4 linked regions of the Astyanax mexicanus genome follow. The protein of the gene in region 3 interacts with the protein of the main gene of each other region in a pairwise test. Links are inferred from orthologs where the notes say so. Each region holds a gene or a part of one and is shown on either strand. Other genes may lie near its edges.

The links.
Region 1: the proteins of traf3ip1 (region 3) and immt interact in a two-hybrid assay, tested with the Homo sapiens proteins (2 studies listed by BioGRID and IntAct). The link is inferred for Astyanax mexicanus from reciprocal best matches to the Homo sapiens genes TRAF3IP1 and IMMT.
Region 2: the proteins of traf3ip1 (region 3) and ift20 interact in a two-hybrid assay, tested with the Homo sapiens proteins (2 studies listed by IntAct). The link is inferred for Astyanax mexicanus from reciprocal best matches to the Homo sapiens genes TRAF3IP1 and IFT20.
Region 4: the proteins of traf3ip1 (region 3) and sfr1 interact in a two-hybrid assay, tested with the Homo sapiens proteins (2 studies listed by BioGRID and IntAct). The link is inferred for Astyanax mexicanus from reciprocal best matches to the Homo sapiens genes TRAF3IP1 and SFR1.

What each region holds. Positions count from the first base shown.
Region 1 is NC_064417.1:17,878,990-17,886,296, forward strand, and holds the start of immt (MICOS complex subunit MIC60), read left to right. Parts: upstream 1-4,174; 5' UTR 4,175-4,321; coding exon 4,322-4,363; intron 4,364-6,228; coding exon 6,229-6,302; intron 6,303-6,478; coding exon 6,479-6,671; intron 6,672-6,811; coding exon 6,812-6,977; intron 6,978-7,307. UniProt on the Homo sapiens protein: Component of the MICOS complex, a large protein complex of the mitochondrial inner membrane that plays crucial roles in the maintenance of crista junctions, inner membrane architecture, and formation of contact sites to the outer membrane.
Region 2 is NC_064425.1:16,836,173-16,844,290, reverse strand, and holds the start of ift20 (intraflagellar transport protein 20 homolog), read left to right. Parts: upstream 1-5,086; 5' UTR 5,087-5,216; intron 5,217-7,233; 5' UTR 7,234-7,267; coding exon 7,268-7,394; intron 7,395-7,973; coding exon 7,974-8,059; intron 8,060-8,118. Other genes in the region: cell cycle checkpoint protein RAD1, read right to left, coding at 722-899, 1,094-1,192, 2,122-2,380, 2,540-2,648, 2,745-2,939. UniProt on the Homo sapiens protein: Part of intraflagellar transport (IFT) particles involved in ciliary process assembly. May play a role in the trafficking of ciliary membrane proteins from the Golgi complex to the cilium.
Region 3 is NC_064418.1:38,618,579-38,626,305, forward strand, and holds the start of traf3ip1 (TRAF3-interacting protein 1), read left to right. Parts: upstream 1-4,559; 5' UTR 4,560-4,718; coding exon 4,719-4,841; intron 4,842-7,727. Other genes in the region: agr1 (anterior gradient 1), read right to left, coding at 750-848, 1,861-1,936.
Region 4 is NC_064414.1:38,353,604-38,361,543, forward strand, and holds sfr1 (swi5-dependent recombination DNA repair protein 1 homolog), read left to right. Parts: upstream 1-5,167; 5' UTR 5,168-5,433; coding exon 5,434-5,505; intron 5,506-6,319; coding exon 6,320-6,661; intron 6,662-6,755; coding exon 6,756-6,947; 3' UTR 6,948-7,350; downstream 7,351-7,940. UniProt on the Homo sapiens protein: Component of the SWI5-SFR1 complex, a complex required for double-strand break repair via homologous recombination. Acts as a transcriptional modulator for ESR1.

The sequences.
Region 1 (7,307 bases), on a different chromosome or scaffold from region 3:
TTTTTAAAAAATATTTCATAAAGTATTTCATTCTGATTTTGTGACAAAGTTTCAACTGAGTATATATTTTATCAAATAATCACTTGTAGCCCATTTTGCAAGTCTTACTGTCATTTGACCTGCAGTTCAACAGAGGGCTTTCAGGGTTTCTTTTCTGTTTTACTGTTGATAGTAATACTGTCATTGGTGGGTAGTAACCATTGGTTTGTTTAATTTTAGTTGAGTATACAGAACCGTAATTAAACCATGTAAGAATTGTCAAATGATAGTATTAAAAGGTTTACATTCTATTGTGACTACTTCTGAAATAAATATTATGAAATATAACTAATACCTCTTCACTTGCACAATTGTTTCAGCAGGTGGCACCAAAGTTGGACAATTATAAATGTTACTGTCTAAATATTTGAGTTGTATTTTTAACTAATTTTTGTTTAATGTTATTTTTTTTCTTCTAATAATTTTTTTATTTATCTGTTTCTTGCTGAATCTTTGTTGTAACAATATCAATTACTTCCAATACCTTGTTTACTTTGAAAAGCTCTTAGTGTTTTGCAAATGAGCCTTTATGTAAACCAAAGCAAAAATTTCTTGATGAAATCTAACGGTTGCTGAAAATACTGACTAGGTGTGGACTGCACACATCAAGTTATATCAAGTCTAACCAACATGACATACTACAACTATGATATTGGTCAATTTAACCATTGCTGATTTGTAGCAACAGTTTTTTGTGAATTAATTTCAATAGCTTTTGAACCGTTGAGGGTATCACAACAGAACAAGTTGTATTAGATCAAGTCCCACCCACGTGACATACTACAACTCTGATATTGGTCAATTTAACCCTTGCTGATTTGTAGCAACAGTTTTTTGTTAATTAATTTTAATAGCTTTTGAACCGTTAAGGTTATTGATACAGAACAAGTTGTATTAGATCAAGTCCCACCCACATGACATACTACAACTCTGATATTGGTCAAATTAATCCTTGTTCTGTTGTGATACCCTCAACGGTTCAAAAGCTATTGAAATTAATTCACAAAAAACTGTTGCTACAAATCAGCAAGGGTTAAATTGACCAATATCAGAGTTGTAGTATGTCATATGGGTGGGACTTGATCTAATACAACTTGTTCTGTTGTGATACCCTCAACGGTTCAAAAGCTATTGAAATTAATTCACAAAAAACCTGTTGCTACAAATCAGCAAGGGTTAATTTGACCAATATCAGAGTTGTAGTATGTCATGTGGGTGGGACTTGATCTAATACAACTTGTTCTGTTGTGATACCCTCAACGGTTCAAAAGCTATTGAAATTAATTCACAAAAAACCTGTTGCTACAAATCAGCAAGGGTTAATTTGACCAATATCAGAGTTGTAGTATGTCATGTGGGTGGGACTTGATCTAATACAACTTGTTCTGTTGTGATACCCTCAACGGTTCAAAAGCTATTGAAATTAATTCACAAAAAACCTGTTGCTACAAATCAGCAAGGGTTAAATTGACCAATATCAGAGTTGTAGTATGTCATGTGGGTGGGACTTGATCTAATACAACTTGTTCTGTTGTGATACCCTCAACGGTTCAAAAGCTATTGAAATTAATTCACAAAAAACCTGTTGCTACAAATCAGCAAGGGTTAATTTGACCAATATCAGAGTTGTAGTATGTCATGTGGGTGGGACTTGATCTAATACAACTTGTTCTGTTGTGATACCCTCAACGGTTCAAAAGCTATTGAAATTAATTCACAAAAAACCTGTTGCAACAAATCAGCAAGGGTTAATTTGACCAATATCAGAGTTGTAGTATGTCATGTGGGTGGGACTTGATCTAATACAACTTGTTCTGTTGTGATACCCTCAACGGTTCAAAAGCTATTGAAATTAATTCACAAAAAACTGTTGCTACAAATCAGCAAGGGTTAAATTGACCAATATCAGAGTTGTAGTATGTCATATGGGTGGGACTTGATCTAATACAACTTGTTCTGTTGTGATACCCTCAACGGTTCAAAAGCTATTGAAATTAATTCACAAAAAACTGTTGCTACAAATCAGCAAGGGTTAAATTGACCAATATCAGAGTTGTAGTATGTCATATGGGTGGGACTTGATCTAATACAACTTGTTCTGTTGTGATACCCTCAACAGTTCAAAAGCTATTGAAATTAATTCACAAAAAACTGTTGCTACAAATCAGCAAGGGTTAATTTGACCAATATCATAGTTGTAGTATGTCATGTTGGTTAGACTTGATATAACTTGATGTGTGCAGTCCACACCTAGTCAGTATTTTCAGCAACCGTTAGATTTCATCAAGAAATTTTTGCTTTGGTTTACATAAAGGCTCATTTGCAAAACACTAAGAGCTTTTCAAAGTAAACAAGGTATTGGAAGTAATTGATATTGTTACAACAAAGATTCAGCAAGAAACAGATAAATAAAAAAATTATTAGAAGAAAAAAAATAACATTAAACAAAAATTAGTTAAAAATACAACTCAAATATTTAGACAGTAACATTTATAATTGTCCAACTTTGGTGCCACCTGCTGAAACAATTGTGCAAGTGAAGAGGTATTAGTTATATTTCATAATATTTATTTCAGAAGTAGTCACAATAGAATGTAAACCTTTTAATACTATCATTTGACAATTCTTACATGGTTTAATTACGGTTCTGTATACTCAACTAAAATTAAACAAACCAATGGTTACTACCCACCAATGACAGTATTACTATCAACAGTAAAACAGAAAAAGAAACCCTGAAAGCCCTCTGTTGAACTGCAGGTCAAATGACAGTAAGACTTGCAAAATGGGCTACAAGTGATTATTTGATAAAATATATACTCAGTTGAAACTTTGTCACAAAATCAGAATGAAATACTTTATGAAATATTTTTTAAAAAGGTTTTTTAAAAACAGTTACAAATTGAACAAAAAATGAGTGTAACCTTTATATTTTTAGATTGTTTTTAACAAAACAATTATTATAAAAAAATATTGTCAGGAACTCCTGAAGTCTTGTCATTTGTGACCAGCTAAAAACACTAAAGTACACTACACTTTCATATAATGAAGCATAAAGCATTTGCCCCGCCCATCTTCATTCGCCTTTTTGCTGTGTCGAGTAGTTTGTAGACGGTCCCTTAGCTCTCGTGCAGGTCGCGGCAGCCCATAGACGACAATGTGTTCTGTGGTTTTCTAAAGGCAGATGTTTGAGAGGGGAAAGACGTTGTAGCTGCTTGCTTTGGATGTCAGCATATAAAATAAGCAAGTATTAACCATTTTGCACACACAGTTCAAAAGCTATTGAAGAAAGAAATCCGAATATGCGAATATGAAACCAACTTTACCGGAGTCTCCCCGACTATGGAATTCTCTTCCAACTGCAGTTAAGCTATCTCCCACTCTTCCCATATTTAAATCGAATCTTAAAACTCATCTATTCTCTCTTGCTTATGGTCTCTCTTCTGCTTAACATTATGTTTGATCTCACATACTATAGTACTGCTGAGTTGGAGCTCCACTGTAAATGTTGTACCTGTATTGTCTGTGTATTGTATATCTGTATCTTTGTACCAATAATTGTAAGCGTCTTTGGGTTTTAGAAAAGCGCAATATAAAAATAAAGTATTATCATTATTATTATTATATCTCAAAACTGCGATTCAGTGATAATCAGTATATCGCAAAACTATTCTCCAATTCACAGCGACTATGCTACTGAGAAAAAAAAGTAAGTAAATAGCAGGAATTATGGATTTGTGTCAGTTTCACACAATTTAAATACCAATATTCACCCCATGTTTACATTTGATTGAGCCGTTACTGTACTATGTCAAATTTGGGGGTGAGTTGAGAGTTGAATTCCCGCTGTTGCTGTTGTGTATGAACAGTCTTTTTTAATGAACTCTATGCCCCTATGGGCTATTAAATCTGTATTTCTGAATGCTGGGGGTAAATGGAGGTGGGCTAATCGAGAACAGTTTTGTTCTCGTAATGTTTCACTACACCCCAAGTCTATTTCACTCCGGATTTCTTCTTCAATGTGTTTAATAATACAGAAGGATATTATTTTAAAAATTCTCTAAAGTGACATGAACCCTTGACTACCCCACCCCACCCCACCCCACCCCAGCAGCTGGTCGTGCCAAGTGCGCATGCGCGGCCTCTCCGTCACTCGGCGAACGGCGCTGGGAGTGAGTGCGCAGTGCTACCGAGGGTTCACCACTTTTATAATGTTTTGCTGAGCCGTCTGATTGTTAAGACTGTCGCTTTAGACCGAGACGCGAAAGGAGGAAAGGCCACAATGCTGCGCGTGTGCTGGAAAGGTGCAAATGCAGCGGCGCGGGTAAGCTTTGCTGAAGGACCGCCGAGTCTATGATTAGCCGGAGAGCTAAACTCCCCAGAGCGGTCATTTAGTGACCCACACCGCAGGCCGGCCGGGTCTATCGGCTCTAATAACGTGTTATCAGACGCCTCTGTTTATACAGTTACTCGGTGCTCCCTGTAGTGTGTTATTTAAGGTGCAGCAGCGCTAAAACTCTGGATTTATGGTGATAAATTGCGTGTCATTTGAAGTGGCTAACTGTGTAGCTGCTAGCTGGGACACTTTGAGTTCTACGTAAACGGCGTAAGTCAAAGCGTGGAGGGGCGGTCGTCCGTGTTGGATTGACGGCTGATGTAGCAAATGAAATGTGAGATCGGCAGTAGAAACGAGTGCCTCAACCAATAGGGCGCGTTTCTTCTTCAGTGACGTGGATGTGGGCGTACCAAGTGTGATTCAAGTTTTCCGTCATCCATTCATGTGCATTAGGAACCGAGGAGACGTTGGTGCAGAGTTTATAGTTTGCTGCTGAAATTTAGTTTATTTCGCTTTAATCAGATATCAGACCTGTGATATCGAGTGCACAAGGAGCGCGCGAACCCGCGACTGAGTTTATTTCGCATTGAGGCGAATTGTTTTTATCCAATTTGAGGGCGTGACCTTGCCAAGTTCATTGGAGTTGAAGGGAAACCCCTGGCATATGGCTGATTTCTCAGATGTTCATCACATTTTTTTTACACATAATCACATGTTTTATCTTGTGCATGTTATATTTACACAAAGGGTGTAAGTAAGACTGGCTGATAAGGGAGCTCAAAAATATTCTCTCACAGTATTTAAAGACACTTTCACAGTACATGATAGAAATTACAGGGTTTGCATCCAGATTAAATTCATCAGTAGAAGCAAATTACTGTATGACATACAGTACCAGTCAAAATTTAGACATACATTCTCATTCATTGTTTGCTTTATTTAATTTCTACATTGTAGATTCAAAATAAAAACATGAAAACAATCAATGAATACATGTGGAATTGCATAGTGAACTAAACAGTGTTTGTCCTCTGCAATACTGACCTAAACCCATCTAAGATGGTGATTTGGGATGAGCTGGAGCTTCAGAGCATAAAGTAAAAGCAGAAACTATTGTTTAGCACCTTTAGACCTACAACACGCAGCACATTCAGACTTTCATCATAATCACTAGAAAAAGACACAGAAACACAGACAACACTCTAACTGTTTAAATTATAAATAGTGCGATAGTGTACATGGTTTTAATAATTAATCTAAATTGTTGAATTATATTCCATGGATTTTGTTTAGGGATTATTTAACTACACAAAAAGTTACTTATTCTGTAAGGTAGTAGTGATTTTAAGCTTCTTATATGATTATTGAGGTGGTGATTGAGATTTGAAGAGAGCAGTGTATTTGTTTTTATCTGTTGTATGTTACTGCACCAGACAGAATGGTTGCACACTTCCAGGCAGTTGTTTTCATGTGGCCACTAGGTGATGAGGATGTTTTTGCTAGATGTTTGCTGTGGTGTTGCTAGGTGGTTGCTGTGGTATCCCTGGTAGTTTCTAGAATGTTGCGAAATGGGTTGCTAAATGAGTGATATAGTGTTCATAGTGGTTGCTCTTTAGTTACTAGGCAGTTGCTATGGTGTATCACATGGTTGTGAGGGTGTTGCACAGTGGTCACTGTGTTATCCCATGTGGATAGTTTGGTGTTAGTATTGTATTCTTACATGATCAGTTGCTCCCACCATCACCCAGTTGATTATCATTGGTGATTACACATCTGTTCTTGTTTATGGGCTCTGATTGGAGTTGCTGTCAATTTGTGGATAATGTTTTTTTTTTTTTTTTTTGTCTTCTCAGAATTGCCTCTGTGGTAAGGTACCAGTCCACCCTCTGCAGCACTGCCGCCGCTACACCTCAGCTGGAAACTCAGGGTATGAATTGACTGATTAAATAAAAAAAAATGCTTAGCTACAAATAAAGTGTTTGGATACAGATTTACCATACAGATTATCTCTAGCACACTAACCTGCCATTGTTATATTATGACTCTCTAAATATAATTTCATTTTAAATGTGATGCATTTTCTCTTGGGTCGGTCTATGGCAGGTCAGCTGCAGGAAAGATTGTGGCTGCTAGTATCCTAACAGTCGGTGGAGGTCTAGGTGGTACAATCCTGTACGCTAAATGGGACCCTAAATTCAGAGCAAATGTTGAGAAGAGCGTTCCATATTCTGACCAGCTTTTTGAGATGGCGCTTGGTCCCCCTCCACCACCGTTTATCCCAATGCAAAAGAAACCGGTAAGAGGAAAACCTGTTTAATTCAGATGTCTCATCCACTGTGCTTTGTATGTTTACAGACTGTCTGTCAGGCTTTAGATAGAGTCTATCTAGGTATATTTTGTTTATTGTTTTTAAATGCCGTTCTCTATGTATTTTAGGTGAAGGCTGAACCACTGCAGATCTCTTCAGTGTCTGAAGCCTCAAAGGACTCAAAGCAACCCAAAGCAAAAAGCAAAGCTAAAGAGAAGCAGCCAGAGCCAGCACCTGTGGATCCCAAACCTGCAGTAGAGGAAGCCCCAGCTCTGCCTCCACAGACCATTGAGGGTGAGTTTACATAATTCTGGATGATCTAATGGACTAGAAACATGCAACATGTTTTTTTCCTTGAATAGGTGGGTTTATCCAATAGACCTTTATCGGTCTTACGGGGGTTGTGTATCCTGCAGGCCCTTGTGATGTCTTGTAAAACTAAGCATATTATTAGGGTTTTTGTTAACAGCTTTTACTCTTCTGGGAAGGCTTTTACATTAGATCAGGGTGCTGATTTCTCTGTTGTAACAGACTTACTAAACCTTACAGTTAACACATTCAACAGAGTTAAGTCTGGCCCTCAGTCCAGCATTGCCCTTACCTGCGCTTGATGCATACTATGAA
Region 2 (8,118 bases), on a different chromosome or scaffold from region 3:
TCTCAGCGGGTGCAATAAAATACACCAGTCAGTTAAAAAGCACTGTGTCAGATTAAAATATAGACCAGATAAATTATAGACCAGAGAGAACTGCATAAGCAGCAGGCGATACTACAGGATCAGGATTAGTAAACTGGACACATAATTTTAATTCTATACCAAAAGGGTCTCCTAAGGGTTTAAATGTAAATGTCACATTTGTCAAAAACAAAATGTGTCAACTCAGCTGCTGCTGCTGTTGTTGTTGTTGTTCTGTTGTTGTCCTTTTAACCTTTCAAAACAACTTCCACTTTTCTGTTCTGTTTGGTTTTAACAAGTCTTAGTTTTATATTTAAGGTCCCCTAAGGGTCAAGTCTCTGTTGTATTAGCTGGCAGGTTAATCTACCAAACCTACCAAAAAACTACCAAAAATAAACAACTCTAGAGCAACAACTGGAGATTTCAAACTCCTTTAATGGTATATCACACAGTAATGTATGTGTCATATCAGATCATCTTCATGTTAACAACTTTAAAGAAACTGATAAAAAGATTTATAAAGTTCAAAATCTTATTATATAACAAATACAAGCTCTGTTACTTTATCTCTTTTTTAGAAACTGAATTTAATAAAATACAATGAACAAATCAGATCACTAATCTGATTAAACGACACAGTTTAACATGAAAAGGGAAACAATTAACAGCACGTTTTAAGATGAGCAAAATAACTCATGTTGGTCTATTCTTCATCAGCCTCTTCGTCTGGGCAGCAGTAATACTCAACAAAACAAATCTGTCCATCATCATTCCGCACAAGGTACTGTAATGAGAGGAAGCCTCGACTGTCTGTCCTTACAGACACCTTACAGGACAGCGCCAACGCCTTGGTGGAGGGTTTTAATAGAGACATCTTGTACCTGAGTGAGCAACAGCAAAACACAAACTGATATTATCCGGCGTCAATGCCAAAAGTCATAGGACAGGAACTAAAATTGTGTCACATGAATTTTGTCTATATTCACATTGTCTGTAATGTCTGTGAACAAATCTGATTTGATCATTTTAATTTGGAAATTAACCTTCTAGTCATTACAAAGTTTGGTCTTCTTACCTGTTGGTTTGTGTCTTTGTACACTGGAACAGCTCCATCATTTCAGAGTCTTTGGGATAGTCGTAATGGGCATTTCCAGAATTTCCAAATGTGGACAATCTGGGGGGAAAACAATCAAATTAATTATTTATATTGTTTGATATTAGTAATATAATATGGTATTGAGTTTTAGGCAGTGTTTTAAATGTGATAAAGCTTTGGAAAACAACTAGTTAAACAGGGCTAATTATTATACATACAACATAAAAAAACATAATGCAACATGAAAAAAACATAATTTTTATTATTTTATCTTTTTTTTATGTGCCCATACTTACTTTTAAAGGGCCCAAAATATTCCATGATGTAAACATGTTTATTAGATAACAGGCTAGTTTTTATCCAGATGCACAAATCTAACCTAATGAGATTGTCAACAAAATCAATAATAGGTCAATAATAGGGGTGGGAATCTCTAGGCACCTTACGATTTGAATACAATTCAGAGGTCTGCGATTAGATTATAAAACGTTTCTCGATTCGTCTTGATGCATCTATTTCTTTTATACAGGATTTATTTGTTCTCATTGTATGAATATTAATGAAGTAGAGCATCTGTAATGATCCATAATATATCCTTAAAAAAGCATAGTTTTTTTTAATTAACCAGATGATTAGTACAAAAAAGTGCCTTCAGCATAGTGACGGTGTATCGACAGTTTGGAGGAAAGTAGCGGATGGCTTGATAGGTAGCTTGCTGGATTAATGATCGTAGTAAAAAAAACCCAGCTTGACAGCGTGAGCGGCAGAAAACAGACTCACACAGGGAAGGAGAACATCAGGGAAATGCGAGATCAAATGTTATGCGTATTTTAGAACATGCATGCAAAATTCGTACATGTTGGCAAGTCTAAATCGATTTTTAGCATTTATGAATCGATACAGAATCGCCCACGTCCGAATCGAGCTGAATGTATGTAAGACACAAAAATGTCCCCCACTCTTGGTCAATATCATTGCCAATAAGACAAGGCATAGTGTTTCTGTACCTGAAATAGGGGTGACTGGGTGACATTGTTAGCTGCAGGATCTCACTGGTCATGTCCAGTTCTGAGAAAGCCTCTTTCAGGCTGTCTGACTGAAGTATGACCTTGTTGGTCACATTGGTGCTACAGAAGTCAAAGTCTAAGGGTTCCTCTGGTTCTTGGGTGTTAATCTTGCAAACAGTAACCACTCCTCCTTCCTCCAGGAACAGGGTCAATGGATAGCCATAACCATTGTAGCACATTTTCAGGGCAGTCATCACTCCTTCATTTTTTTAAAGAGAGAGAATGTATGATCCATCAAGATAAAATCATAAACAGTTTAATTACAATATGTTTTTAATGTTGTTTTAGCTCAATCAGTGATGCAACTACACTAACAGTGCATTATTATATCTAATCATTATTTATCATAGAAACGTGCCTGGCACTGTGCTTCCTCCAAAGATGGTGAGACAATCCAGAAGCACAGTTAGGTTAACCTGAAACCCAACCACATCCTCTTTAAGTGTGAACTCTTGAAAAATGTCTGCCTGCAGGATGAGAAAACCACACAATCAATTACAGTCAAAATGCATTTAAAACTGAGTGTTTTTGAGAATTCTTAATGTCTCATTCTGAACACTGACCTGAATGAACGCATTTGCTTGAAGACATTTGGAGTCTTCTACGGTTACTTTTAACCCATTCTGCGTCGCATTGAATATTGCATGGTCTTTGAAGGATATTGCTTTTAAGATGTTAGAAAGGTTTCTCACATTATCCAAACTAGCTATCAGGATGTACTCATCATTCTCTGGTTGAGACTGAGTTGACAAAGGCATTCTTCTGATCACAGAAAACACCTGCAATGACATTATAGAAGATAGTTAAAACTGAGACTCTGTAGTCCAGGGTCCATATTTATGTCCATAGTATATTTTACCATATAATAGCATATTTTTGGTAAATCAAATAGGACCATAAAACATGGCTGTTGAAATTTATATAAATATGCTTAAAGACTGAATTGTTTTCCTGGCACTAAATGTAGGGGTTGAGGTTAGAGCTGTACAATATTAACAAATGCCCTATTGATATAAATAGATTATTTATTAATAGATAATTAATACAAAAAAATAATATTGCAGTTTTTAACACAGACATACTGCTCCACCCCACTGGGCTGTCGAACACATAAAGCATTAATATTAGCTTGTTAGCTACCTACTTCTACTCATATAAAAAAAAAAAACTAAAAGCAAAGCAGTAGCAAGCTAAACATTTTTGTTAATTGTTATTTAACTTCTAATGTTAGCTAGACATTTGTTAAACATTAAACAGCAACACTAAAGTGATCTCAGGAAACTTTTAAAACAGTTTGAGCAGCCTGTCAAAAATGGCCAAAAACCCAAAGGAAATTGTGATTAACTCAGGATGCATGAAAACTGTGATTAAAAAACAGCGTTATTCCACCAAATATCTGCATCAACTGTGTGTGTGTGCCGAAATAATAACCAGTTTTAGATCTTACCTCAGTGTGTATTAAACTACATGTAGTTTCAGTAAGAGGGCTGATTTGTGGCGCTGAATGTTTTGCTCGTGTTCTTCTTCTCCGTTTTTTCTCAGCAGCTCCACTGCCCCCTGCAGTGTTGGAGATACCGGGAGGCTTTTCATAATAAAAGTCCTACTAAAACTTTTAATGGATTTGATATGATTCCCAAAGAATACGTATAAAGGCCTTGAATAAATCTGTATAAATACTATTAAGTCTATAAATACTTTTTTGGGACGTTTTTGAATGTCCAGGAACACAGCACTGTGTGAATGCTGTGGGCAATGTAAAATAGGGAACATATATTATGGGATATTGGTGTTACAGACATTTAATAGAGTTATAGTACAAAATAAAGTGTTATATACATTATAGGAACACATTTTTTAAACGCGTAAATCTATTGTTTTGTTTTGGCCCCCGGTTTAACGGGGCAGTGCACTGATCCGCCGGTCGCCGTGGCAGCGGCAGAGACTCTTCGGGGCGGGGACGGAATCTCATCATCTGGAGCAGAGCCGGTTTACGGAGAGCCTGCCCACTTCTAATTATATCAGAAAATAAGTGCAAATCGTTAGAGGGAGCCCGCGAGGGAGTCCAAAATGAATGGGGGTGAATGGAGCTAAACAGCTAAAAACTCAAATTAAAATGATTAATTAACTACGTGTCCCGGATATTACATTAACGTAAAAAGTAAATTGACTAATTGAATAAATTTGTTAATCAAGCAAATAAACGTACCCGTATTTTCTACGTTATTACAACAAATATTTTTGGACAACAAATTGCATGCATCAATGTAATGCTGATCACTTTATGATTGTTTAAGGCTAAATAATAAAAAAAAATAAAGAATTGGGCGTTACTTTTCATTATTTCATTTTTTTCCATCTGGTTTAATAAAAAGAAATGGGTTTAATAAAAAGAAATCTTAAATTTAGGGAAAATGAAAAAATAAACCTTTACTCAATTCTTTAATTTTTCATCTAGTATTATAAGGTTGGATTTTACCTTTTTTTTTTTTTTTTTTTTTTTTACCTTTTTTTGGATTTAAAATTTTGTAAAGGTCCATTTCTTTTTTTTGTTGTGAAATTTTAGATTATGGAAGGCCGAAATGTAAAACGAAAATGGCCTTTACTATAGCATGTGGGGGGAAATTGTATTTAGCCTTAAATGGTCTGAAAATTACGGGTAAACATTGCACTGTTCTAGTTACAGTGAGATGACTGTTTAGCAAGCTTATGCGGTAACAAAGACGTCCATAACACATTTAAAAGGTTTGTAACTGGCAATAAAGGGCGTTAAACATTATTTAAATATGGTTCTGTATTGAGGAAATTAACATATTTTTAGTATGATTTTTATTAGACATATTAAACATAAACTATGATTTTGAGCGCCCTCTGGTGCTGTGATGAACCCGGAACACGTTCTGTAGTGGGAATTCTCCTCAGTAGAGAATCTCTGATCTGGAGAGTCTTTCTGCCACATAACCGAGAGAAGCGGCGAGCGGAGAAAACGGCGAAGAGACCGGCGAGATCAGCATATCTCCATTAATTCAGCTTAGCGGGTATGTGTGGAGATTCCTTCACTTTCTATAGTAAATAAAGCGGTTTATAATGTTAAATACAGTGTGTTTTTTGTGGTGGGTTTACTCGATAGCTGCGTTGCTAACCCCGCTAGCTGATTGTTGTGATTAGCTGAGTTGTTGTGTTGTGAGAGAAGCTCTGTAAACTGATGTTAAACTCGGCGGATCAGAGAGCAGAGCTAAGAAACTGCAGCTTTACAGGCTGTCAGTTTAGTCAGTTCCGTTTAGATACTCTGTTTTAATGTGATCAGGAATCCTCACTATACCAACACCAGTTGATCAGCAGCCATATGTCACCCAGCTGCTCAGATAACCTACAAATAGTCTAAGATAGGTGGTAGATAATACCCTGATATACAGCTCTGGAAAAAAATAAGAGACTACTTTAATTTCTGAATTAGTTTCTTTGATGTTGCTATTTATCGGTAAATGTTTGAGTAAAATGAACATTGTTGTTTTATTCTATAAACTACAGACAACATTTCTCCAAAATTCCAGATAACAATATTGGCATTTAGAAAATTTATTTGCAGAAAATGAGAAATGACTGAATTAACAAAAAAGATGCAGAGCTTTTAGACCTCAAATAATTTAAAGAAAACCTCCACCATTCTTACACACTGCTTTTGGATAACTTTGTCACTCCTGGTGCAAACATTCAAGCAGTTCAGTTTGGTTTGATGGTTTGTGTTCATCCATCTTCCTCTTGATTATATTCCAGAAGTTTTAATTTTTTTAAAATCAATCAAAGAAAATAATTTTTAAGTGGTCAATTATTTTTTTCCAGAGCTGTATTATTTAATTTTAGGGCCATATGGGCATTATGGTACAATTTTGTGATTTTTTCAGTAAAAGGAAAATTCCCATAGGTCTTATTTCCCAATAAAGTCTATTAGAGACAGATTATATCTGTCCAATATTATTTATTTTACTAGATATATGAAGATATTTGGAGTGCATTATTAGTATTATGACATGTTGCATCATTGACTTCTATTACAGTCTGGTAAAAATGCCAATTAGGGGTGCACCATATCATATGGTATACAATTATATTGGCAAATACATTTTAATATTAATTTTCTTGCAGTAGTGTATTCTTAAATTTATTATTTTATTTATTGTTTTGTCATATCCCCAAAAATAATGTTATCCTGAAATATCCTGATATAATTTTAGGCTCATATTGCCCACCCCTAGTATAAGATGACACCAGATTTTACTAACTCATACAGAATCTACTTATTTCAGATGTCACCTATGAAATGTTTACTAGTAATAATATCAGATCTACAGATCAATAGATCTATAAAGCTTTTCTGACCTGTCATGTGTTACTATTGATTTACAATATTCATTTACAATGACCTTTACTATCTCTTATCTATAATTAAAATGTTACTAGTACACTGAAGTACTAGTATTTCAGTGTATACATGCCTATAATTGTCACAGTTATTAGTAACAGAAAAATGATTACTAATAAAAATATATTTTATTATATTCATTATATTATTGGTAGTCAGAACTTGAATTGTATATTTATTTACTGTCAGCTTATCTACAAAAATATTGGTCACTGCCTATCATAAGAGATGGGTAACCATGCTTTATCTAATCTGTTTTTAGGTCTATAATTTTTATTATTGTTATGTTCTCTTTTGTTCTCTTTCCTGACAATTCTGTCTGTCCCTTGCATTGCTGTAACATTGTGAATTAACCTGCTGTGGGATTAATAAAGGCTTTTCGTATAATACTTTATGTTATAGAGATTTAAACCTGCCCATAACATTAGTTACTAATCAGATCAAATGTCTCTAAGTGTTATTTATTTTTTAACTTTTTTACTTTTCTCTACTGTAGTTGATCTGTACCATATGTCTCATTAAGTCCTGTTTTAATCATCAGTTTAAACCTTAAAGAAAAGAAAAGTTTACATTTATTCTCACAACTGACTCACAGTTTAAAAAGACTGTAATCTTCTGTTGCTTCTCAACAGTTGGACCTAATCAGTGATTGGCTGGCCTCAGGTCATGGCTAAAGATCCACTGGCAGAAGCTGGGCTTCACTTCGATGAACTTAATAAGCTACGAATACTTGAACCTGATGTTGGTCAGAAGACCACAGAGCTTAAAGAGGAGTGCAAAGAATTTGTTGACAGTAAGTATGGCTGTATTATAATTTATTTCCAGACTTTTAACACTTTTATTATCATGTTAATAAGGGCCAAAATGTACACAATCAAATTTATCACAATGTATTAATTAATTTAGATCAGTTCAGTAGAAAAACTGCCAAGAATGTCCACAACGGTACCCAAAAACAATTATGATTGTTGAAATCAACAAGTGTTTAAACATCATATCACCATTATTGAAACATTCTGATATATACTCAATTTGAATTACTGTCCATCCCATGTAAAATAACCTGTTAAATACTTTAAAGTCTGAACACAGAACACTGATGGAAATGAATTACCATGAGACAGAACCAAGTGGCTTTAAAGACTTTTTGCAAACTTTTTACAAATTTAATAAAAACTTACAGTCTTTAAAAATGCATCTATATTTTTCATATATTAAATCAATTAAGTAGACAAACATTTAACATTGTTGCCCTGATGTTGAAAGGTTTGGTGTTTGCACTGGGTAACTGCATGTGCACTTTCTTACTCTCCACCACTTGTCAGATAACAGCTTTAATTAAACTGATTTCATTTCATTTCTTGGAAAACAGAAATTGGCCAGTTTCAGAAAATAGTGGGTGGACTCATTGAGATGGTGGATGAACTGGCCAAGGAAGCAGAAAAAGAAAAAATGAAGGTACGTATGTGCCATTAAGATGACAGTTTAATGATAACTTGCAGACAGCTAAATAATTT
Region 3 (7,727 bases):
AAAGATATATATATATATATATATATATATATATATATATATATATATATATATATATATATATATATATATATATGGGCTCTTTTTATAGCACATTTTCAAATTTGTTTGATCTACAGGACACATCATCCTAATTTAGTGCAATAAGAGTCAGTCTAGTTAAAACAAAGACAGTTTTTCTTTTACAAATTTAAATCCAAGAGTTTTTTTTCATGGCCTTACTTAAGAAAGGTTGTAAGGAGCAGTAAAGCCACTCTGCTGAAGTGCAGTGTTATACAGGAGTTTTAGTTTGGTTCTCCAGCCCCAAGACTCAAAACTTGAGCAGTATTAGCATTAGCTAGCTCTTTCGCCGTTCAGAGGTGAGTATTATCGGTCTGTAACCTGCTACCAGGTTAACCTGTCTAACCTGTAAACCACTAGCTAATAGCACCCTGGTTTACCGGAACACTTAAGGAAATCTGGAAATCTAAGCTTGCAGCAAATAAATAGAAGCTCCTTACTCACCCAAATAAACTGTATTTAGGAGAGAAATCTGTGTAGATTAACATCCAGTGCTTATTTGAATTATAGTTTTGTTACTTTGCATGGCTTAGATTTAAAGGTCTCGTCACCCAGTGGCAAGACCTGCTGAATCAGAAGGAAAACAGGGCGACACCACTGTTCATTGCTAGTGTCGCATAATGCATCTTAAAATCCAGTGCACCTTATAGTGTGGAAAAATACGTATACATATTTTGAAATGATCTTACCTCTGGAGAGAGTCTGGACTACTTTCTTTTTTCTTTGCATGGAGACGTCACAGGATAAGAAGAAGAGCAATGCGTACACACACCAGCGGCCCATGATTACTGTAAGAATCAGACAAACAGTGAGTATATTGTGCACATGTCTGTGTTAAGTGTTAAATTATCAGTATGATCAGTATGGTGGAATGTGTTTAGTTAAGTACCATACCCCTTTCACATTGCAGCCTGTAGCTATTAAAGGGATTGCTTAAAAAAAAAAGAGGAGGTGGCTGGTTGAGCAAGTGGTTGGACATGATTAACTGGTCGGTTTAAAAGGCAACTGCACTGTTTGTAGGTGTAGTTTTTCTTGAGGATGTTTTACAAATCAGGATATAATAGATTTATTGAAAAATCTTCCTGCAATTGCTAACATGAGCCTAAACACATTTTATATGACAGAACTCACACACATGCGAGTGTATTTACAGCTATGAAACTCACCAAAGAGGTCTGAATATATGGCCAACTGGTCTGTTTAACAGCTACTTTTTTAATTATAAAATATCTACACACATTTATTTGTATTAATGACATACACATTGGGCCAATACAATAAACAAAACATTTTGTAGACATAAAAAAATTGTCTGACAGAACCCACAGGTATGCAGGTATATGTATAGCTATGAAACCCACCAAACTGGTCTGAATATACAAATAACTGGTCTATTCAAAAGCTACTTTATGACCATTCCTTTATGATTTTTTTTTTACAAATCATGTTGTGGAGTAAATATTGAGAACCCTGCATGTGATTAGTTTTTTTTTTTTTAGAAATGCATGTTTAGACAGGCTGGTAAAAGCATTAGCATCTTGTTTTGATTATAATAATTGTTCATAACTTCCTCTATATCTCAATATTAGCTTACACTTATCCCAGTTGTGTGAAAATAAATTATACTGTTGTCAAAAACGAAAAAAAAAAAATCACAGATATACACTTTACACAACTTAAACAAATATGACATTTAATTTGTCACAGCCAAGCATAAACACAACACCTTTCAATTTCCCAATAATACATAATTAATTAAAAAACAATAAATACCAGTTTTTAAGTAAAAAGAAATCTTACCAAAAGTGAAACGGCTGAACCAGCTTTGCTCTTCTGCTCTGTCAGTCTGACAGTATTCATGGTGGTGCAGGTGCATTTATAGCTTAAAAGAACTCGCCAAACAGGTCTGAATACACGTACGAACACATGGCTAAACAAGACGTCCTCCTCCCAGTAGCTTTTCAATGACTCAAATTCTCACATTCATATAAACCACAATTTACAATTATTTTTTCATGTTTTGTTTACTAGCACTAATGGGAATCATGCACAGGTTACACTTGGACAAATACTGATCTCTTACTAAAGAAATACTGAAGTAAATAGAAGATGATCTGATATTTAATATGCTTAGTTTTGAGTCCCCCCCCCCCCCAAATTTTACATTTGACTGGTTTCGAAAAAGGAAAATCAAAACCCACTCTTTGACTGTAAAAGACCTTAAGGAAGATTGACTCTGACTTTGGGGTGGTAGTGCACTTTTATATTGTGACCTATATGTAGGCAAAAGAATACTTTTCTTGTGACACAAGTTTTCAAAGAAACACGTCCTGTGGATTGGTGGAGATAAAATTGGTTTTAGGCATGACCTGTAGAGATACAGCATGCAGGTTCAGAATTTCAGGAAAAGAACCTCTTTTCATAAGAAGGTGACACTATGGCACAAGGACCAGATGCTCAAATCACAGGTCAAGCTGCCTTGCCACCCATTCTCTTTTTGTCCGGGTAGGTAGATGGCACTGTCTGTGATGCTGGCTGGCACAGATGTATGTTGACTGATGTATCAGAACTAGGGATTTGGTGCTTTTTTCTAAGCTCATTGATTACCTAGTGATTCTGCATTTGAAGAAACAACGACTGGCTTCACATGTAACAGAATTAATAGTGATAGAGGACATCCTAATGTGAGAGCAGGTTCATTAGCTAAGCTAAATTGGGGGGAATAAAAGATGGAGAAAATATAAAATAAGAAAATAACACCTGTTCAGTTGTTAATCACAGGGGTGTATTGATCTTGCTTTGGAACTATACAGGGGTGATTTGTAATTAAGAATGTGTGGCTGCCTTTGTTGTGTATGTTGAAGCACAGAATTTGCTTAAACCAGTTAGAGGCCTAGAGGCTGTTATGAATTAAAGGTGTGGTTTTTTCCCTGTCTGTAGCTTTGTTCATGGGACCGGCAGATTTTTTTAGGTGTGTCAAAGAGTGAACAAGCCAGATTTTAGCACAGGCAGTGCTCTGCAATCAGTGATATTGTGAATTGGCTCATTGGAATTGGATCTATTTCATAACCTGTAACTATTATTTCACTTTCACTGTTGTAACACTTACTTTGATTGCAATAATAATGTGCCTTTTTGCATTTATAGTTATAGCAAGCCCACAGCCCTGTAATTAGCAATCCAGAACTTGCAGCTGAGCCACCACTGGACAGCTTTTTATACTGTAGCCTAATATTAATAAATCCATCTAATGTGAAAAAATACAGCAGTTTTTCCATGGTATGATGGTATTTCATGGTACTAAATGTGCAGTGGTATATTCAATATACCACAATACTCAATAGTATCATATAAATATCAAGGACATCTTGAATTATTCAACAGTATTTTTACCATTGTAGTTTTAAACCATTGTACTATTTTGGCTAAGGCCAAGGTAGACAAAATACCATTGAAATTATTTAAAGGATTTCATGTCTATATGGGCACATGCAGAGAGATGTTTAAATTACTTATATATAAAAACTAGTTACTTTTATTCTTCTGGTAAACCTGAACAAAATGTTTTACTTAACTGGAAAATTCCGCATTTCACTCAGTCATTTTATACTTTAATTTTTAACCACATCCATTCTGCCTCTACCTGTTTTTCTTAACCTTAACTACTTTTTTCAAATCACTTTTTATTTATTTGTTTGTTTATGTTTGTTTATTATTTTATCATCAATAATATTTTATTATTGTATAATTTCATTATTAGTTAGTTAGCTTAAGTTTATTTTTTGTACTTAAAATATTACATTGAATTGTTTACATTTTCTTGTTTTTAAACCTTTCTTATACCTATTTATCTTTATCTTTGGTTTACCTTCTTATTATGTATTTCCCTAGATCTGCTATCTGGGTTTTCTGAACTCTTTTTAAAAAAGTCTTAATTTCAGTTTAATATTAATTAATAATAATGATTATTTTCGGGGTTTTTTTCCATTAGTTTTAGCTTGATTACTGTCCTCTGTTTTATTTTTTTTTTATGTAAAGAGTATAAATCCCTATTATTGGAAATTGTTGGCGGCAATGAAAATACGGGCTCACCCTCAGTGCAGCTACCTCTGAGAAAAAAATAAAGATTGACTGATTAATTGATCGTTGCAAAATTATTATTATTATTATTATTATTATTATTATTATTATTATTATTATTACTATCATTATAAGTAGTAGGAGTTCATCTATATCCCCTTTAAATATTTATATTCATATAAACATTACTCTCCATTACTCTCTATTCTGTTATAGTCAGTATATTGTGCAGTAAATGTTTTATGTTTAATTTTTTCATATGTTTAATGTATAATAAAATGTGTTTTTAGCTAAAATCCTGTATTAGCTTTAGCTAAAGTGTATCATGCTATTAAACAGGCCCGGAGTTGTTAGCCGTTGCCATGGATATTTGCCACCCCTTGACAACCACGCAGGGTGTGCGCGTGCGCATATTGGCGAAGCGGGGCATTGTGGGATTGAACGCTATTGACACAGCAACACTGAGAGCCGCTCAGTGATTGTAGCTCCTCCGTTTTTGGGGTCTTTTTGCGGTGAATTACTCAATATTTCACACGGGAGCAGCGGTAACGTCGAATAGAGGACCGTAGGGCTTTGCTATGAACGGCTCGGTGGCTAAAAAGACCCAGGAGGTTCTGGGGAGAGTGATAAAGAAGCCTCCCCTGACTGAAAAACTGCTCAGCAAACCGCCGTTCCGATACCTGCACGATATATTAAGCGAGGTGAGTCCGGAGGAGAGCTGTCTGTTCGGTTATTTACCGAGAAATTAGCTTAAACCGCTAAACATCACGTAACTATAGCTGGATAATTTAACTAGCTCACTAACGTTACTGTGTCTGGCTCTGAACTCCTCGGCTCAGTCGGTCCAGATGCGCACAGCATTACAGGCTAACTAACGGTTAGCACTCCTACTTAAGCTCTCCTGAGCTCTGCAGGGAGCTGCAGATCTGGATTAGTGCTGTAAGGTGATGTGAGGTGGTTGTTCTTCTGCTGTTTTGCACCTTTCCAAGTTTTGCTCTGGCTTCACCACCACTGTAGATTATAGCCCACCGTTATAGCCTAAAGTAACACCACCAGCTTCAGCTAACTAGCTACAAGGGCTAGTCCAAGCCCAAGTTTTTACTAGTGAAACTCAAGTTGGCTAATTAGCTAACCTAGCTCGTGACAGATCTCTGTAGCTAACTTAACGCTAAGTTAGCTAGTTAGTTTTTACTAATAGAAACTATTATTTCAGATATCATCTCTGAAATGTTTAGTTACTAGATCTGTAGATCTACAGATCTATGTGTAGCTAAACACATTCTGACTAGACACACATTACCAGTACCAAACTCGGGTCCTAACTCTCATTTTACTAGTCAAAACTCAAGTTAGCTAGCTTAAGTAGCTGCAGATCTCTGTAACCTGTGTATAGTTAGCCTAGTTTTATATATTGAAATATAATGTCTGAAAGTTTTAATAGTGATTATGTCAGATCTACAGAGCTATAGCTAAACACATTCTGACTAGTCACATCATCTACAGCTCTGGAACAAAAATGAGAGAACAGTTAAAATGATTAGTTTATTATATTTTACCGTATTGAAAATCTCTGGAATATAATCAAGAGGAAGATGGATGATCACAAGCCATCAAACCAAACTGAACTGCTTGAGTTTTTGCACCAGGATTGGCATAAAGTTATCCAAAAGCAGTGTGTAAGACTGGTGGAGAGGAACATGTCAAGATGCATGAAAACTGTGATTAAAAAACAAAATTTTGATTTCTAAATTCTTAAAAGAGCTCAGGTCCTAACTCAGTTTTTTCTATGAAAACTAAAATAACAGATCTCATTTCAGATATAAGCTCTAAGATGTTTATTATTAATAAATAATATTAGATCTACAGATCTATGTCTAAACACGTTTTGATATCTCTAATATTACCAGGACCACATATATGTAATGTAATTGTATTTTTAATCTATATTTCTTACCTATAATTACATTTGTACAAGTAAAATCTTCAGTAATAGATATCTACAATTACTTTTTTTCCCTTACAAAACAAAAATATAGTTCAAGATATCTCCACTGCCATTCTGACTAATATAGTCTAGGTCTGCATCTATGAATCAATTCTGGCTTGTATAGTTTTGACTTCTAGTAGTGTGGGTTAAGGAATTGAGGTTTATATCTCTAATATGGAAATTGTATATAGTTACAGTTTAGTTCAGTGTATTAAACTGCAATTTCTACTTCTCAAAACTACATTGTAGATGTCTGGAATGACAATTTTCAAGAGTAAAGAGAAGTTATACATAATGTAATTATGTAAACAAAAATGTATTATAGATAAGAGAGTGTATTTTAATAATGTAAATCAGTCATAATAATATGACTAGTCAAAATACATAAAGGATATGTTCTCCTGGTAATATAACTAGTGATAATAGCTTGGTCTGTAGATCTGATAGTGTTACTAGTTAATATTACATAGCTTAAATCTGAAATATGGGTTTTTATTAGTAAAAACTGCATTAAAGAGATCTTGAGTTTAGGTTTTATCTGTAAAAACTGAGTTAGGACTTGTATAGTCAAAGTCAAAGTCAAAGTGGTTTTTATTGCCAGTTCAGCTATATACAGAGTACACAGTGAAACGAAACAACGTTCCTCCAAGGACCATGGTGCACATAAACACAGTTTATGTGGGTTCATTTTAGGATAAACCAGCGTCCATAATAGATGGGTATTCTGGAAACCTACATTGTTATTGAGTTATCATTATGATGCTTTTGGGGGTTGACCTTAAGTTAATAATACTTGGTAAGTGGACCTGTATCTAATACTTCCACTGTTTCTACTGTCAGACAGTTATGTATGTCTTGGTCTGTTGTATTCAGCTTCAGATTAGAGAATGAGACACTGTCTCTCTGTTCTGTTAGTGCCTCTCTCACTGCTTCACTGTTGCCAGGCACCTTGCTTAGCTATGGTTATGCAAACAAACGAGGAAGCCTTATGGGTGCTTGTACGGTCTGCATCCGCTTACCTAGCCACAGAGGTAGACATCTACTGATGCTGGAGGAGCAATGTTGGTACCCATCACACCAGTTGTTCCCAACCCTGGCCCTGGATAACTACCACTATATTTTAGAGTTTTTTTTTTTGCTTTTTAACAAATTCAAGAGGCCATATGTGCACATATATGATTTTATTTTCATTTACATTAATGATATATGGATGACACTCTTATCCAGAGTGATTATATACCTAAATCATTTTACACAGGCAAATGTAGTGTTAGAGACATGGTTAACATATCTTTGTTTAGATGTATTTGTCCAGCTGGGGAATCTGCCACAGGAAGGGCAATTTTGTTACCCACTATGTTTGGGTTGTGGTTTCAAACTCTGGTCATGGAAGACCCCATGACGTGCATATGTAGTGTTTTTCCTACTCTAACACACTACCTTCAACTCAGCAAAGGCTTGCTAATGATTAGCTGGATCAGTGTGTTGGGAGCACAGGGTTAAAACTAAACTGTGCCATGCAGGGGGTACTCAGAAGGTCAGGGTTGGGAACCACTGCACTACACTAAAGCTGCACCGACCCATCTGTGGACGCTGACTC
Region 4 (7,940 bases), on a different chromosome or scaffold from region 3:
TTTTTATATAATCCAGATGTAGCTGTAGTGTTTGGCTTTCACTGGTGTGCTGGGTGTATCTACATTTTGGGCATGTAAGAGAATGATGAGTATGAAAACAGTTTGTAACAGTTTGTTTTTTTTTTTTTTTTGAAGATTTGCCACTTCTACAAACAATTTTTCTCATTATTTAACTATGCCAGAGTTACAAATATTTATATTTAAATATTTATTTATTTATTTGCTTTAGTTAAATTTCATTTGATTATCTTCTGTTTCTGCCCATTTAAAATGCTACTAAAAATGTTAAATGAACAGTATACACAAATAAAGTATGTATTAAGTTTGAATTCCTACAATAATTCTACAAAACTTAATAGTAGATACTGAGTAAACAATCATTAAATAATTATCTGCATAAGTCTAGGATTTACTTTGACTTGATTCTTTATTTTTTCTGATCATTTTACACTAAACACAGTTATTGGATTTAAGGTATATATTTCAGGTAAGGTATATGGTTCAGTTATTCACTTTTATGGCTTTTTTATTAAGAAATGAAGTATGTGACACTTTTGCTGCAAGGTATACAGACATCAGAATTAAAATTAAACAGATTTATCTGACTTGCCCAGGCAATGTAGCATAATTTAGGGAAAATTATCCAGGATAATATCCCAATGATTCACCATCTCTGAAAGGAGCAGCACAAATGATTGGTTATGACGATGGTACTGGTTTCCATGTGAACGAAAGTCTTTCCTGAGCTACAAAGCCAATGTTGGCCTGTAGAGCCAAATACTTTTCCCCTCGTGCTCAGCTCTGTCCTGCTGCCCAGCTAACCACACCTTCCAGACACACAATACACATGACTCACGTTCAGCCTGGACTCCACCTCTGCTCCCCACAGAACAGCCATCAGAACAGCCAGGGCTCCACGAAGGCCAACTCTGGTGGGTTGGTTGCTATACAAAGTTGTTGACTTCAAACATGTGCCATCACTTGAGGCTGATTCACAGAGTACAGCTAACAGCAGTGGAATCTCCTGAGCATGTGTGAATGCAGGAACAGTAGCAGAAAGGCAGAACATTTTCAACAGGATGCTTGGTTTAAAAAGTTATTATTAGAATACTGTTCCTTTTGGCCCCTATTAACACAGAAAAATGAGAAGTAGATGAGAAGTGAAATTAATAATATTAATTATTGAAAATGCAGAATGTGTTATCAGTCTCTTGGAAATAAAACAAATGTAAGAAGGTTGTTATGCCACTGAAGGGGGAGCTTATTTTAAGATAATCTCCCTATTCTAACTAAAAAAAAAACAACATAATTGGGAGTTCACCCCTGGAGACCCTATCTATATCTTCACTGTTGGACAAAATTTTGTATCACCAAAATGACAACGTTTGGTGGATGTTTAGTGGACATCGGCAAGATTCATATTATCTAAAAAAAAAAAAAAAGGTAAGTATAGACATGCAAGGATTCAGCCGAATGTAATTTACTAATTAAGCATGCCAGATAAACAGTACTGTACTATTTGATTATTGCTGGGTTGTACCTACAAATATTACAAATATTATAACCTTATTATTATATATCATAACCCAAAGTTAAAATGCTAGATTGAAACAGTACCTGTCTTACTATATGCTGACCCTCTAATCACCACCCTGTTATGCTAGAAAAAGTCCACAGCCACAAGTAAAATGGTGAAGTAAGAAAATAGCCACACTTCTTGTCCACTGTGTGGTAAACGAATGTCATGCAAACCTGACATGGCTTGTTTTTATTGCCATTACATTTCTGCTAAACATGCACTGTCATGGAAATGTTAACACATTACCAGCTGATCTACTTACATCAGAGTTCTTTTAAAACAACCACAAGGACCAGTCCAATGACATCAACTTCGGTTTACCAGAGACCTGTAAACAAGATTTCAACAAACAGAAATCAACATTTCTGTGTTTGTTGTATGTCCATATATACAATATACAGTATATCTATTGTATATAAAATGCAAGTATGAATACATATATATAAAATATTAATTATGTTGCTGCTGAATGTGGGTACATGTTGATCACTTATTGTCTATTATGAATACAAATATATGCTTTAAAAGGGGAGTTGCAACTTTTATTATTATTATAATTATTAATATTATTATTATTAAGCTCATTGGTGTGCAGAAAACACATAGGTCTACAGTATGATACACTTTCTCTTCAGAACAACTGCAATCTCCCTAAAACTCTTTTCACCACATCAAAGGCATGTCGATACAGAAGACACACCCAGCCTCTATTGTGTAAGAAACATTATAGTTGACACTTTATCTAGGCTATTGTGTAGATATGTACACCTGCCCTGTGTTATTGTTGTCATCAAAGAGCAATTCTCTTGTCCTGAATGTCTAGGCATTAAAGCTCCATTCACAACCAGGTGGAAGGGATTATCAATTAATTAACATTATTTTCTGATTAATGGAAACTGCTTCCTGGTCTAAATATTTTCCAAGCAATGTGATTTTGTGAATTTGATTTGGCAGATTCCTGCACTGATTATTACTTAACTGATCATTTTAAATTAGTAATAAAATGATCTCAGGTGCAATAATAGGCAAACAATAAACACTAAAACACACACATACATTTGTGCTGTTCATGTCTTTTAATAAGGACATTAATTTAATGTCCACAGACTAGAAAAAGGAAGCCCACCTCTGTGTTAATGCTTTTAAGGATAGCTAATTTGCCAAAGTGTTTTAAATAAAAGTGTGGGTTATACAAGTGTTTTGTTTATTTAATAAAGAAAAACAAAGCTTTGATACTGAAAAATATGTTCTTCTCAAAAAAGGTGAACAATGCCTAGATGCAAACAACTTTCTATACATGATGAAGCTGGTGTACCCGCTCAATGTTGTGCAAAACTAATCAACATCTGATTGATGCTAAATATTATCTTTAGATTAATTAAGTCATCAAGCTGAAGAGTTCACTTACTTTTTCTAGCCTGCACTGACAATGTTTACTTAATGTGCTTAATTAAATACATGAACAGTACAACTGTGGGTTGTGATAAACAGTCTATAATGAGGACCTAGTCACACCACATTATATAGTAATCATCACTGGAAAAACCCAGTGAGCCAAAATCCAAACTCCACCTATCTTTTTTGCAACTGGAACTTCTCCCCACCAAGCAGGGATGATTATGCTGTTTTATGAGAAAGCAGCTTGTGGCTCTAATTCTAGCTTTGGGTGAAACCATAAGCAATACAGAACTCCAAGCAGTAAACATTTTGAACACCAGCCGGGACATGCTGACTTTTTGATCTCCACAACATTCTGTGGATGAAGGCAAAAGCAGAAGGAGCAGCACTATAATAATTAAATAACTGTATCTTCTGATTAAATAGGTAACGCACGTAAGGCAAGCATTTGGTCTTGTAAAAGAAAGAGTGGTACAGTAAAAAGGAGGGCGTACTCTCTCTTTCTGTAGCTACATGAAATTTATGACTTACTTTTAACCACCATTTTCTTGCCCATTTCCTGTGGGCATGATATACAATTGTTATAAAAACCTGTGCTAACTCACTGGGGCCAAATAGATCAGCTCAGAGTGTAATTGATCCAGTGACAATTAAGTATTTTTTCAGTGTGTAAAGGGAATCCAGTCCAGCCAGATATTCTTTCTAACTTACTTCTTGTTAGTAGGTCTTACCTGCACACTGACCGTCCTCCTCTTGCTGACATGCCTAATTTTCCTTATAACAATTATATGTAAAACTCACCATTATCACCACTCATTACTGTAAAAAAATATAATCTAATACAGACTGTATTATCATCTATATGTCCTAAACATAGACTGTATATAGCTGGACAGAGCATCGTCTCGCAAAACTGAAGCCACCACAGGTCGGGCGCCCCCTGCTGTTCGGTTTCAGAAAGCAGTGTAACCCCACCCATCCCCATAGGTTTCAATGGCAAAATAGACAACTTTCAATCACACATTTTTCTAATATACTGTAATTCTACCTCCATTAATTAAATGCAACAGCTAGTGTAACCTCTGCTTATATTGTCAATTTTTTATATCCCCAAAGAATTCGTTTTTAAAACGTTATTCAGCTCTGTTCAAAAAAGGTGTGGTTATTGTAAAAGGGCTGGTTATGGGTGGGACCAGTAATAGATCGTCAGCTCCGCTCTGCAGTCTGTGACCGCGAGGCAGCCCTCAGGGGCGGGGTTATTCAAATTAGTAGGCTGTCTCTCCACAGTCTTTCTCCTTCCTCTGGTCTCTACTGTGCAGACTGGGGTGTCAGGATCGCCAACATGGTGGAAGATTTTTTCTTCATTTTCATTGAGTGAATGGGAACGGAGACACAGCGTCCATCTTTTTTACTGGTCTCTGGTCCTAAATTATATCAAATCAATCTTACCAAAAAAGTACCTTATATCTCCAACTTTTTCCCTTACATTTTTTCCCTTTACTTTTAAACTAAAAGCTGCTTGAAACACAATGAATTCTGTTCAACTATCTACCCACAGTGTAAAAAATGTGACTGTTTAAACCATTACTTTCGTATAAATACTGCAATTATCTGTTTCACCAAATAACGTTATGTGAATTTCAAAGCAGCTAAAATACAAAGGCAATTTAGGGGAGTTCAAATATTTAACATTATAGGCAAATAGAAGGTTAACGGCTTAAAGAGGACGAAGACGATTTTCCAGAATGATGTGAGATTGATGTGAACAGAAATGAGTCCAAGAGGCACATGGAATGTATGTGACTGTATGGAAAGATGTGGGTCTCACCTCTCTCAGATTTAGTTACTTCACCTTTAAAAGAAATTAAAGAAAGATGTCAAGGAGAAAGCATGGAAACTGTAGTTGTACTGTAACACTGTAGGCAATAAGAATATATAAATGGTTTTTTTTTCTCACTTTTTCTGCATACTTATTTCTTTACTATTTATAAATAAACCTTTCTAGTTCCTTTTTACTATAGTTATACGACTAGTTATATTCTCATATTAAATGCGTTTCACAATTAACTATATATTAAAGACAGGAGATCTTTATATAAACGTGCTATTTTGATAAATGCAAGTTTTTAGCTTTGGAAATATACTACATTTCCCATGAAACCCTTGTGTTACCCGGAAGTGACGATTCATTTGGAGGCAGCAGGCGGTAGTATGAATGTAAACTGCTGTTTTTCAGCTGAGAGTTTCAGAGCTACCGTTCGTTATATAGCCAAATAATCATGCTGTTTAATTGCAGATCTTGCATATTTAACAAGATAGATCGACTGTGCTGAGTTTCCTTAATGCTTGCTCTGTCTTAAAGCGCAGCTTTAGTTAAGCTAAGCTTGTTTACTAGCTTCAGCTGTAAAAGTTTCCCTGCTACTTTGAATTGGCTGCGGACAGACAGACAGACAGCTATGGATAAAACACCGGTGAGACTCTCATCAGAGCATCAGGAGTCTGTTCCAAGTGGATCCAGTGTAAACAAGGTAGTTATCAGTTTAACTATATATATATAACGTTACATACACACATACATTTGTTTCATGACTGTGCTTCAATATAGGTTTGTGACTTACTGTACAGTTAGGAGTACATATAAAACATTAAGTCTTTGATTAGGTCTAATAAATATTAGATATTCAAACGACATTTACTGATATATCATGTGTAAATAGTTAGCTAGCTAATTTACAGACCCTTACTGGGCTTTAAAGGTTTGTTGGAGGTTTAAAAGTTTTCTTTAGTTTAGGTGACATAAATTAACTACAAACTAAAGACAAATCAAGAACATAAATGGAAATTGGATTGCTGGGTTGAAAAATGTATGGTTTACGTTTATTCTCACAGGCTGCAATCTGAAGCTGTAGCTGTATTGTCCCTATATTGTCAAAACAATTCACTGCTATAACGTAATTATATAATTATATAACGTAATAATATAATTCTAGGGCTAGGTTACCTAAGGTCACCACTGATTTCTAGAATCGACTGATTTCTGATTTACAAGGCCCCCCATTTTAGAGTTAGTGCTGAAGATAAAACTAGCTCCTTTAAAATTTATTTTTGCTGATATAGGTCTGTTCCAACAATCATAACAATTTAAATGCTTTAATAAAATGTTTAATGTTACATAGAGCTAGTTCTGACAATTTATAGAACAGAATGTTTAAATACAAATTCTGACATTTTTGTGTAATTTGTTACATCAGAATTTTAACCTTCGCACACATGTGCCCACAATAATAAAAAAAATGTGTGGTTTAAGGTGCAGTGTTTGAATGCCTCTCTATTTATTCCTAGCCCATGAGTGCTGCCCTGAAAGCCAGGTTAAAAAGATCACGGCCTTCCTTTACATCCCCTTTGAGTGTGGTCAAACGGCTTAAAGTGGATGAAGATGACTTACCACACAGTTTAAACGGAGAGGCAGATCAGACTGGACCAACAGAGGATGAGGCTGAGATTGATGTGAACAGAAATGAGACCAAGAAAGACTTTAAAGACTGTGTGGAGAGATGTGGGTCTGACCTTTCTCAGGCCTCTCAAAGTGAGTTACTTTACCTCCAAGAGAAATTAAAGAAAGATGTCAAGGAGAAAGCTGAGACTCTGCGAAGGCTGAATATGGTCAGAATGTACAGAAAGAAGGTAAATATCATAATGAATATATCTGTGTTTGTGTTAAAACATGATAATAAAAAAAATGTGTCCGTAGTGAATGATATATTTTTTCTCTTATTAGAACGATCTGACCCAGCTGCAGAGTCTGATAGATAAATGGAGGCGGTGTGCTCAAGCAGTGCTGTATGAACTACAAACAGAATTACCTACAGATCGCCAGAAAGCCAGCCTCTCTCAGCTTATTGACCACTTTGGACTGGAGGACAGTATTCTGCACTTTGATAGGACAGCGGAGGACTTCACAGACAGCTAATATTCATTAAGGTCTTTTTTTGTTCTATGTTATTGTTGTTCTTGTCATCATAAATCTCTGTTTTCAATCCTTTACTGTTTAAATCTTCATTTAGGGGTTTGGGAACATTAAGTGGTAGAAGTATTATTTTAACATTGAAGAAAAGGATGATTCAATGTAACTGATTTTGAACTTAGTGCATGTAAAACTGTCACAGCATCCTGACTTTGATTGAAGTGTTTTTCAAGTTACTGTGAAACTTCATCGACAACAGAGTTTAACCTCTAAGTCATTGTACTTAGTTTTTTGCACTTTGCACTTTTTGTTCACCTGTTTAATACTATTGAAAATGCAATTATTTGTTAAAGCTGATGTCTTTGCTTAAAAAGGTGACTGTGAATAAACAACATTTTGTTTAAAATGAGTTCTATGTAGTTTGGAGTTGAAGTTGAATTTAAGTGCAGTCACTTTTGTGATGCTCCACACACTTTATTCATGGCCAGGAGTGGGTGTAAATTTTGTGTGTTCTTGCAAGGATTTTGAAATGACCGACACATTAAGTATTCATTTACGAACAAAGTGATTTGCAAATACTTTAACACAAATGTGTTCTGCCTGTTTTTATGAATATTGAATAATTTTAATGATTACAAAGTGCAGAGTGAAATATATTCTAAACCTGTACTGCATCTCAAAAGCTGTAGATTTTAAAGTCTGATAAATACTGCCTCATAGATGCTTCATTCTTTAACAGTCCTTTCCACGCTGGCCAGCTGCAGATCAAGAGCTATGTTCTCTTTCTTCAGTCCAGTTTGTCTTTCACCTGCTTTATCAGCTTTTTAATGTTCTCAGTTTTCTTCTGATGATAAGGTCATAAAAGGTCTGCAGCCCTGATTAGAGTAACATTATTTAGAGCATTTACTTTGGTTTCTGTGTTTATCTTTCTTTTTTACTGTTACTGTACTGCTCTTACATTCTATTTTCTTGGTATGTTTCACTCAGGCATTAAAGAAA